2 linked regions of the Arabidopsis thaliana genome follow. The protein of the gene in region 2 interacts with the protein of the main gene of each other region in a pairwise test. Each region holds a gene or a part of one and is shown on either strand. Other genes may lie near its edges.

Region 1 (5,494 bases), on a different chromosome or scaffold from region 2:
CATTGCTATGTTACAGGATGGTAAGGTATCACAGCTTGAGCATGTCTTCATTCGAGGCAGCAAAGTCAGGTGCTGCAACACTTCTTAGAGAACACTGTAAAACCAAACAAAGGAGAACAAGAGAGATATGTCCAGATGCACTACTAGTTCTGTATTTTGGGTTACCAAGATGTTTGAATCATTGACAAGTTTTCGTTGTGATCTATTTTCTTCTTTGCGCATTCTCCATTTCTGACAGTAGATGAGTAAAACAAAGTACATTGTTTTCATAAAGGTCTTAATAAGACTAAGATCAGAAAACAAAGATAAATTGAAGGAACAAGATTATGAAATACTAGAAGTAATGATTATATCCTCCTTCAATAAAGACTGCAATACTGTAGACTTTGAGTTGTCTAAATAACGTAGTCTATATGGTCATTTATAACATTAATATATAAGCTATAAAAGAATATTGTACTTGTATTTTCATCATGTAAAAACCTTGTCAACTGCAATTTTCCCAAATTACAATCCAAAAAATTGCCATGTACTTGTAGAATATTTGATAGGGTCTAGAGATTCAGTTCCAGAGTACCAAAACGACATGTAGAAGAATATTTGATTCAGTCTAGAGGTTCAGCTCCCGAGTAATATTAACCAAACTGGATCATAGATTTTCCTGAGTCTATACAAGAATCGATTCACAAGTTGAATATAGGAAAGCATGATATCAGAAGATTCTTTTTATTCTCTCTCAAGTGAAGAAAGATCTAAAGACCTTAGAAAGAGAAGAATACACTCTTTTTGGGCTACTTGCCATGATATCTAAAGATCCATTCTTCTCCCATTTTGGGCAACTTGCTCTACTATCTCTCTTTCTCTCACACTCTTTTTGTTCTAAAGAAAAACTCGAGTTAAGTCATATTAGATTCTTATTAATATTAAATCAGAAACCCAGCTGGTTCAGTTCTTGCAGCATGACAGAACTTAGATGTGTTGTACTTTCTGTGAACTCCTGTGAGCTTCCCTGTTCCTGCCTTGTGATGGAAAGCAACCATCTTTCTCGCACATGCCCTAGAAAAAACACAAAAACCCACTGTCAGGATACCAAAATCTCATGTCATGGGGTTTTCAAAAAAATCAATGTATGTTCTTACAGTAGCTGTTTTTCGTTGTAGCCTGTGTGAAACTCACAGGTTTTGCTCCATTCTTCAAATCCCTTAAGTGTACACTGAGCAGTGTAGATTGCTGAGGCCGCCAGCTTAGATGGAAGATACTCTAGCATCTCATACTCCACAAGGCAAAGCTCGATCATAAAGAATGATAAAATCTCAAGCTGAAACCACAATTGCATATACCACACCGATTTAGATATTAGGCCTGATGGTTTCCGGATATAATGATTCAAGCTTTTTTAGTTAGGGAGATATATACCTTCTTGTCAGATTGGGCAGCTTTGAGAAATCGTTTCATGAAAACATATGGAGTTGGTAGAGAGAAATTGAATTGCAAGGTGTTGGCCATTAGCTTCTCCTGCAATAGAAACCAAAAACAGGTAAATTCAACTATGAAGCATCAACCAGTGGTAGTTAATGATCAAGACAAAGTTGTGTATTCACCATATCTAGCACTTCTCTTCTAGAGTAAGCTTTGTCAGAGATCAAGATGAGATCATCTACCACTGGAACTGAAACTTCTTCATATTTACATGCAAGCAACAAAGCAGTAACACCAACAAGCTGAAGCTTTTTCCTCACGATTTGATGAACCGCAAGGAATCTGTCGATGACATTGATTGTGAGATAAAGAGTTTCCTCCATCAGTTCAAACTTGTAGTGCACCTGGACAAGATAATTTTCCAGTCAATTTATCTTCAGGCACATTGAGACAAAAAAAGTGGCATTAAATAGCTTTTGTCTAGATCTGTCTACCTCAATTAACCAGTCAATGAGGATTCCTCTCATTCTCTCATTAAGATCTTGTTGATTGTCCATATAGTTAGGAGGCACGCAACTAAGTTTCTGCAGAATCATAAGAATGAATCAAACATAAGTACAAGATTTTGAAACTACAATCCTTTCGATGATAAAGAACACAAAAGCAAAAGTTGATGTGAAACAAGACAAATTCACCTCAAAATTCTTGTAGAAGGTATGCATATCATGGATATATTCAACCGCAGCCAAAGGATTATTCTTATCACAGGCATCAATATCGATCACAGGCTCTTCTTCTTTGTCTGCATCTTCCATTTCAATCTCCTTCTCCTTTTGAAAGACACAAACAATATGAGTAACTATATTAACACTTCCATAAACAAAGCAAAGAATGGTTAGGAAATATGTATACCATCTGTTCAATCTCCTCCAGCATTGCTTCAGTATGTTGTACAAACATTGGCTCATTAGAGTCACCTCCTTCTTTATCACTTTCATCCACATCAATGATAATCGTCTCTGGTTCTTCACTTGAAACTGAGTCTGGTTTCTTAGTTTCCTAAGAGTTAAAGATCAGAACTTTAAAATCCGGTCTATATCATCATTGCTCTAAATGAAACATACATTGAACAATAGGGTACCTCATCACGGATATGTGGCTTATGATCTGCTAACTGAGCAGCAAACTTCCTGAACCAACAGAGAGTAGTAAAAGTTAAGTAATCAGACAATGTGAGATACTCAAAGTAGACAAGAGTAAAGATCTATGCTTACCTAGTAACTGGTCGATGCACAGGTGGTTTATTACAAATGCCATCTCTTCTGCAAAGTCACAGAAAGAAATAGGGTTCCTATAAGAGTCTAATCAAAGGGAGAAGAAAAAAAAAACACTAATCTTGAATCTGAGGATTAAAGTGAACTTACTCAGAAACTGATCTCTTGTTGACAGCATAAGGGTAAGACGGCGCTTCAGTGATGTTCTTGTTAATAGTACTTAGTGCTCTTCTTGTCGGTCCTGTTGTTGCCGTCGTCTTGATCTTTCCTACTACTCCTCCCCCTACATCAAGTAAATTCAAAATCAATTTGGGGGAAAAATCAAAGAGAACGAAAGTTTTGATTTTTAATAACAAAATCGATCGATTTAGGGTACCTTGGAGACTCATTGATCCGATTAATCCAAGGCTATTTTCATCTGATCTAACCATTTTCTTCTTCTTCGTTATCTGCGGAAGTTATTTATTTTCATTAAATCTCTTCTCTTGAAGAAATCAAATTTCAAAATCGAAACATCCCCCAACTTAAAAGCAGGGGTTTTCAAAATTGAAACTAAAAAAACAGTCTTGACAATCAAAACCCTATAGATCCGGTTTAATAATCTCAATGAAAGACCCAATCAAGAACAACAAAGACCTAAATCTCAAATACCCAGAAGATAACGAAAACCCACGAATTGGTTTTTCAAAAAAATCACCTTTTCACAGTCAATTCAAAGAACCAACGCGAGATTAAGTCGACCCTTGATCATAAATTCTTATGAAACCCAGTGAATCTCCTAAACCCTAATAGTCTTTTATCCCGTTGGATCCAAGTTGATCAAACAAAGGAGAGAAAGAGAGATCTTTTAGTAAAACCCAAAGATTCAACCACGCTCTCTTTCTCTCTAATGGCTTCGGTTTTGAAGATACTTCCCACTCTCTCTCTATCTCTCTTTATAAGGGTAAAGAAAAAAAGAAAAAAAAAAGAGTAAGATTGATTTTGAAGATTAGAAGAGCGTCTATAGTGTATTAGTTTTCTTTAAAATTAACGGCTAGTTCATCTCAGCCGTTGGATCAACGCCACGTGTTCCAGATCGAAAGTTGTCTTCTATTCAACGGTTATAATTGTATATCATCTATGTATAGATTTATTCAAATTCTTTGATTTTTTTTTCTTTTATTCTATTTTGGGGAAGACAACTATTTTTATTTTATTTTTGAAAATTACACCATGAAATAATATTCATTTCTATAAAAACAAATAAAACACTTCTATTTAAAAGAATCAAATATGTCTCCTTTGACCAAAGACCAAGATTCGTTTATATTAATCTCAAGTTAAATGATTTTCTTTTTCAAGCAAGAAATCTCACACAAAGTTTAGATTTTCTTCAAGTGTATCATTAGAATATTATACTACAAGGGCAAAGAAAAAAAGAAAAAATAAAGAATAATAGAGATTTTGAAGACTAGAAGAGCGGATATATTGTCTGTATAATATCTTTAAAATTAACAGCTAGTTGCCTAGTTCATATCAGCTGTTGGATTAATGCCACGTGTTCCAAATCGAAAGTTGCCTTATGTTCAACGGCTATCATTGTTTTTCATCCATGTGTATGTGTACTTATTCAAATTCTTTGGGTTTTTTTTGTTTTCAATAACAAATATCTCGGTAATATTTATTAGGTTAACATGATAACAAAATATTTATATCAATAAATTTATAATTATGTCATGCTAAGTCATTTTGAATCGCAATAAGTTATAACTTATGTGATATATTTATATTTACCGTCTTAACTCATTTATTATATCATATAAAAAAATTAACGAGTTACTATAACGTGCAAAATATGAATTTCATCCAATAAGATTATTATTGTCACTACCTCTAGATAAAGTATTAGTTAACTCGGTAATTTGATTGTTAACCAATTTGAACTGAATCTGAACAAAAACTATCATTGTCGTAATCTTCACAGGTACAGTGGTATGGCAATAAGAATAGTTATATAATATAGAGGTATTATTGTATTTGCCACAAAAATAGTGTAAGATAAACAGTAGAAAAAAATGGACTTAATTTTCGATTCTTCCGAGTAAGAATGATAATACCCTTCCCTTTTTTATTTTGGGAAAGACAACTATTTTTATTTTATTTTCGAAAATTACACTATATAATATACATTTCTATAATAACAAATAAAATACTATTATTTAAAAAATCAAATACATCACCTTTGACCAAAAACCAAGACTCGTTTAAGAAATCAAATACATTTATATTAATCTCAAGTTAAATGATTTTCTTTTTCGAGTAAGAAATCTCACACAAAGTTTAGACCTTCTTCAAGTGTATCATTAGAATATCGTACTATATTTTTATGGGAAAAAGATATATAGAGTTGTTTACATGATAATGGCATTGATATACTGCATTTACTATCAATCACTTTTAAATCAATCAAGTCATTTGTGTAGAAGTGTGAACATTGCGTTTCTATGTAGAAACACAACAATAGCATTTTGTTTCCATTGATATAGATACATTAAATAAATATGATATGCCATTAGGTTAAGTTTGAGATCATTCTATAAGTTCTTGTTTCAGATTTTTGTTATTGGCATTTAAATTGACATGTATATCTTTTAGGTTGCATAAGTTCTCAGTCTCTTGTAATTAATATCCGTTTAATGAATACAACTGTTTTTTTTTCCATTACAGGTTGGCCCAAAACTTACCCACCAGACTAGAGCCCATTAGTATCTTAGATAATAGATATATTAGGCTTGGTGGGCCTGTGGCACAAAAATGTATTG
Region 2 (5,409 bases):
CTTCAGGAAGCCCAGCCAAAGCAACGAACTGCATAATCTCACTCCGAAGCTCCTCATTGCTCTTCACTCTCTTACGAACTCTGTTCAAATTCAATTCAAGCAGACCAATTAACCAAAACAATAATTGAAGTACGTCTGCTGTCTCCAATTTTCCACAGATCGAAGCAAAAACCAAAAAAAAAAACGACGAGAAATTTCGAACCTGGTTTGTTTGGTGGAACATGCGAAACAGATAAAACTATGCTTCTTCGTGGAATTCAAGTACGAAACAAAAAGTTGAGGCTGATGATAGTAGAACGATGGTTTCCGAAATTCGAAACAAGGGAAGGAGATAGAGAAAGGTATCTGAGAAATCGTCGCCATGGCCGGACTTTCTCAAGCTCCGATGTTCCCAGCATTTATTAACATTCAGACCGAATTACATGAAACAGAACTACATTTCTAATGATATGATTGATATGGTAATATTTTAACCGGATTTCGGTTCAACAAAACCGGAAATCGATTAGTTCAGTTTCGTAATTTCCAAAATTGAAGTCCATAACCGGGTTTCCGAATAACAGAACCGAACATGGACTAATCCAAATGGTTAATAAAATTCATTTCTACACCACAGAGCAAAGTGTTTTTTTTTTCCTATGGCAAAGATTCTTAAAATCGCTAAACCCGACAAGGATCCTAGATTCGATAAACCACCGGTACATTTACCGCTAAACAGACTATTCGTCAAAAAACCAGGTAAAGTTTTTCAAGAGCTACTTTACAGTTTTACAGAAATTGTACAAGGGGCCTTCATACGTGTTTCAATTCTCCGGCTTCATGCTGGAGTTCATTATCCCTGGAAGAGACGGGGATTTCACTGGAGCAGTATCAGCGCTGGAAGTAACGTTGTTAGTCTCAGGCATAGGAATGATTTGTAGCTGAGAATGCTGCTGATGTTGTTGCGATTGAAGATGAGTCTCGTACATATCCAGCTGCGGTGTTGGACCTGTGCTGGGGCCTTTGTTAGGGTTTTCTGGCGTGAAATTGTGACAAACCAGCTGGCTGTTGTTCCGACCGTTTGGTTGTTGCGGCGGTTGATCACAAAACTTCATAGTCTTGAGGACAAAATTGTCGTCGTGGAGCTCAAATGGAGTGCTGCAAATAGTGAAAACAGTTGTCACAGTGTCAGTAATCGGTTCCATAGATATATTAGCTGAAAAGAGATCAAATCTGGTGTTTGGATTTTACCTGTTGAAATCAAAATGCACGAGCTGCATATCTTCTGATATCTCCACTTCTACTGTTGCGTGAGGACGAGTCTGGTGCAGAGAAACAACAACAATCAGGTGATTTTTTCATTTTTCTGAGGTTTCCTTGTGGATCAATCTAAGATCATACGAAGCTGTTGGTGAAGTTTACCTGGACAAGGATAAAAGGAAGAGCAACACCGCCACTGGGAGCATTTCCTGAGCTATATAAGTGCTCATTTCTCTGTATCAGATTCTGAAGGCCTACATACTTTCAGACATACACAGAGATGATAGAAGGACCATGTAAGAATCTATGATAAAAGTAACAGGAAGCAGATAAGCCGAGAGTATCGATGATGTTCATTACTTGTTCTTCCAGTTCTTGGGAATATGCAGTTTTCTTCTCAATTCTGTTCCTAAGTGAGAGTCGTTCGTTCTGCAAAACAAAATAATTCAAATTCAGGAAAATTCTCTAAACAAGCTATGGAACATCTGCACATAGAATATGTGGTTGAAACCTTTAATTCTTCAATGTCGCTTAAGCTTGTCCGAGGAAGACCTCTCCATTGAATTTCTTTTTTATCCTTGGATATTATATCCATAGCCATGAGGACGTTTAAAGCATCATATACTCTTCGTCTTATGTTTTTCTCATCATACTGTTGCTGGTAAAACGTTTTCACATGATATAATTTCATCAGAGTTCACAACGAGTATTGCACACGTTCCAGGGTAGAAACTATCGAAGAAACGCATACCTGATCAGGGGATGTTCCATCGTTATTTGGAAGTGCAAATTCAGCAACAAGCTCGTCTGCAACCTGAAAGTACTATCACCTGTTAGATACCGTATTACAGAGCTACACGTTTGCAGTACTAATCATGAGACAAATTGATATTCCCATATGTGATCTTGACAAGTGTTTAATCACACTGGTAAGCACAATAAATCAGTATCATCATATAACATAAACAGAAGTGAATGGATCTTGCAAAGCATAAATACTGTGAAGCTTTTTGTTTAAAAAGGAAACTACCGTACCTCATTGTAAGTTGTCCTTCCTTTGCTTTCCACCTTTTCACAAACTGAAAGGAAGGCCAGACGAACATAATATCAGTTAAATGTATAACCAATCTTAAGAGGCATTATCCACACAATTCATAGCTAGAAACTTGAAAGGCATTTAGATGAAAGCATAATAGGGGCAGAGAAAGAGATAAGACCTTTCATACTAAATTGACGTAGTCCTCTTCCAGTCTTATCTGGACCAGCCGCACGCTGTCCCCTCTTCTTCTTCTTAACACTGTAAATAGATTATATGATCAACTAAACTACACAGAACACATGTAACAACTTCCACACAAAAATTAACGCACAAAGACAATGGCCTAAACAGTATCTTTTGTCCCAATAAGGATAGGAAAGATGAGTATTCAAATATGCAGATTATTAGTAGATTTTAGACTAATACATATCAGGAGAGCCAAATTCAAGCTTGTAAAAGTATGATCCACACATCATACTTACATCTACTGGTTCAGTTTCATATATTCATTAAGCTCATAAAAGCAGCCATTGCAATAGAATGAAAACCCTAAAAATCGCTAAACCAAACATCACAATAAACACATCAAAGCCTTTTAATATAAAAATCACAGAATTGAGGTGGTTTACATACCCAGAAGCTCCTTGAGAACCAGCATCATCACCTTGAATGTCCAAATTATTCAGGCGTTGAAAAGTAGTGTCGCTAGTAGATGTAACAACGGTGATGGTTTGCTCACTCCGGCTCGACGGAGAGCCCATACTGCCGCTAGTAGACACAGATTGACCTGAAACCGCCGTGCCCCAAGACCTAGTACTAGGGTTATTGTTGTTATTATTGCTTTCATGGTGGTTGTGATTAGAATTAGACCCAGTAGTTGTCATTCTTCTTCCACCTAAAACTAACTACCGCGCTACTGGAGAATTCAATAGAAAACGAGAAAGAGATTTGTTAAAATTTGTCAAGGAAAGTTTCTGATTTTGACGAAAACCCAGATTTTGAGTACTGACCTTGAAAATCGACTTGGGTTTTTGGTTATTAACGAGAATTAGAAGCTTCAATAATGGCGGATCAACATTAGAATTCTTAGTGTGATACTACTCTGGAAAGGTGGTTTTCGCGGCGGAGAGTTAATGGATTTCGCCGGAGAAGGAGGAGGATAAGTCGATCGGGGTTGGGAGGCTTGTTATTTGTGCGATGGTGAAAAGATGTCCACAATGAGAGAGAGAGAGAGGGACCAAACTGACTCATAGGTGAAAAAAAAACAAAAAGTTAAAGAAGATAATTTTCTTTACTTTTTTTTTATTTTACCAAAAGATTAATTCTCTTTAGTGAAATTTAGGTCTTTTGTTAATCAGAATATAATACTGGAATTATCTTTTTATTTTTATTTTGGCTAAACACTAAAATTATCTTCGTCTTCTTCTTTTGTTGGCTAAATACTGGAATTATCTACCAAAATATGTTTATATGGCTTTAATAAGCATGAAAACAAATATAAAAAACATACATTGATACATCATAATGTAGATGGATGATCAAGTCAAAAAGTTAAAAACATGTGTGGTTGATACCACTAGTCAATCACATTCGATATGAATTTTCATTATATGAAATTTACTCATTCTAGTGTTGATAAGATTTGAGCTTTTAGGAAATATAAACATATCATGTTCATCCTCTTTCATTACTAAAACTGGAGCAAAAGAGTTTTTCTAGTTCCGAAGATTATGTGATAATGTAGCTTAAGGTTCACGAAAGGCACATTTTCTTTTCTTTTTAGCATTTCTCGGTTTGAAATAAAAATCACATGCCACATGTGGCTGATTCGAAGTCAAAAAGTATATTTTGTAAATCACTATTAGACGAATAAACGAGTATTGAAGATCCATCAATAAAATTCTTAATGAAACCTTTGAGGACAAAATAAAAATCCAATCTCAACTCAATTGCTTTTGAAAAAAAGGACAATTGAACAATTTGTTCAAGCCTTAGATACTACTACTCCAAGTCATCAAGTTTGACTTGAAATTGCTCACCTGAAGACAAAACCTTGACACTGACCGAACCAACTTCCCAACCAGAACCGGCCTTCTTGCGTTTACCCGAGCCGCTCTCTTGAACACCCATTTCAGCGGTTTACTCTCCAATACTAAATCAACGGTTTGCCCTTTGTCTTTAAGAGCGGTTGCAATGGTGGTTGCAGCTCCTTGGAGATCTTTGTCCAAAGCACACACGATGTTCTCTACTTCTTGTCCCAATTCTGGCAACAAAGCAGCTGTTAATTGATGTTTAGATTGCTAACCTTGTCTATAATGAAGCAAACTCTTCCAAACAGGTCTTCGGGTACACCATACTTTTTTAAAAATTCTTGTAAAACCTGTACAAGGAAGAAGTTATGGGAGATGTTAGCTACAGTGGATATTCAGATGCTGCAGATCGTGCAAAATAATCTCAACTCATGTTTAGCATTGCAAGTGAGTTACTTGGTTCTGTATCTAGAGTGTAAACCAAGAAACAAAATGATCATATCACATCAAAAGAGAACGTAAGCAAAAATACCTTGCGGCTTGAAACCTTAAAACCCACATCTGATGCAGTGATTCCAATTCGCTTGAAGAATGTCATTATAGATGAAATTAGTTCTGCTTCAGCCTAAAAGAAAAGGTTTGTGAACCAAATTAGCCGGCTTATAGAGACTTTAAACACAGATCAGGTTCATATAACAAAAAACTAGAAGGCCTAAAGTGATTAAAGGTATGAGAGATACATACTGTAACTTCAGGCACACCAATAATATCCATATTCCACTGGTAATGCTCACGTCGCCTTCCTCGTGTCATTCTCTCATATCTCCAACACTGCCCAACAGCAAACCACTTCAATGGAAGGGAAACAGATTTTCTGGACCAAAAAGAATATGGGAATCAACATTCTCACATCCTTACCTGATACAGAATTTTTACAAACAAAAATAAATAAACCGCTCATTGAAGAATAAGGACAATTCTCAAGGCTTGAGAGAAAATTCTGCATTAGTTACCCTTTCTGTATGACAAGCCTCGCTAAAGAAGGTGTAAGCTCAGGCCTCAATGCTACACGGCGATTACCCCTATCTTCAAAGCAGTAAA

What was found.
Region 1: the proteins of DPB (region 2) and CYCB2;3 interact in a two-hybrid assay, tested with the Arabidopsis thaliana proteins (one large-scale study listed by BioGRID).

Annotation. Positions count from the first base shown.
Region 1 is NC_003070.9:7,134,150-7,139,643, forward strand, and holds CYCB2;3 (Cyclin B2;3), read right to left. Parts: upstream 3,680-5,494; 5' UTR 3,391-3,679; intron 3,143-3,390; 5' UTR 3,125-3,142; coding exon 3,070-3,124; intron 2,977-3,069; coding exon 2,844-2,976; intron 2,742-2,843; coding exon 2,694-2,741; intron 2,610-2,693; coding exon 2,561-2,609; intron 2,479-2,560; coding exon 2,332-2,478; intron 2,250-2,331; coding exon 2,115-2,249; intron 2,004-2,114; coding exon 1,914-2,003; intron 1,824-1,913; coding exon 1,602-1,823; intron 1,516-1,601; coding exon 1,417-1,515; intron 1,319-1,416; coding exon 1,140-1,318; intron 1,057-1,139; coding exon 924-1,056; 3' UTR 510-923; downstream 1-509. Other genes in the region: AT1G20600 (AP2/B3-like transcriptional factor family protein), read left to right, coding at 17-88.
Region 2 is NC_003076.8:840,595-846,003, reverse strand, and holds DPB (Transcription factor DP), read right to left. Parts: upstream 3,517-5,409; 5' UTR 3,289-3,516; intron 3,195-3,288; 5' UTR 3,163-3,194; coding exon 2,912-3,162; intron 2,537-2,911; coding exon 2,457-2,536; intron 2,319-2,456; coding exon 2,275-2,318; intron 2,054-2,274; coding exon 1,991-2,053; intron 1,898-1,990; coding exon 1,751-1,897; intron 1,669-1,750; coding exon 1,600-1,668; intron 1,501-1,599; coding exon 1,402-1,500; intron 1,302-1,401; coding exon 1,231-1,301; intron 1,138-1,230; coding exon 804-1,137; 3' UTR 550-803; downstream 1-549. Other genes in the region: AT5G03420 (5'-AMP-activated protein kinase-like protein), read right to left, coding at 1-80, 203-363; AT5G03406 (Class II aaRS and biotin synthetases superfamily protein), read right to left, coding at 4,560-4,658, 4,841-4,933, 5,053-5,182, 5,322-5,409. UniProt on the Arabidopsis thaliana protein: Involved in the regulation of the G1/S transition. Increases the DNA binding activity of E2F proteins after heterodimerization.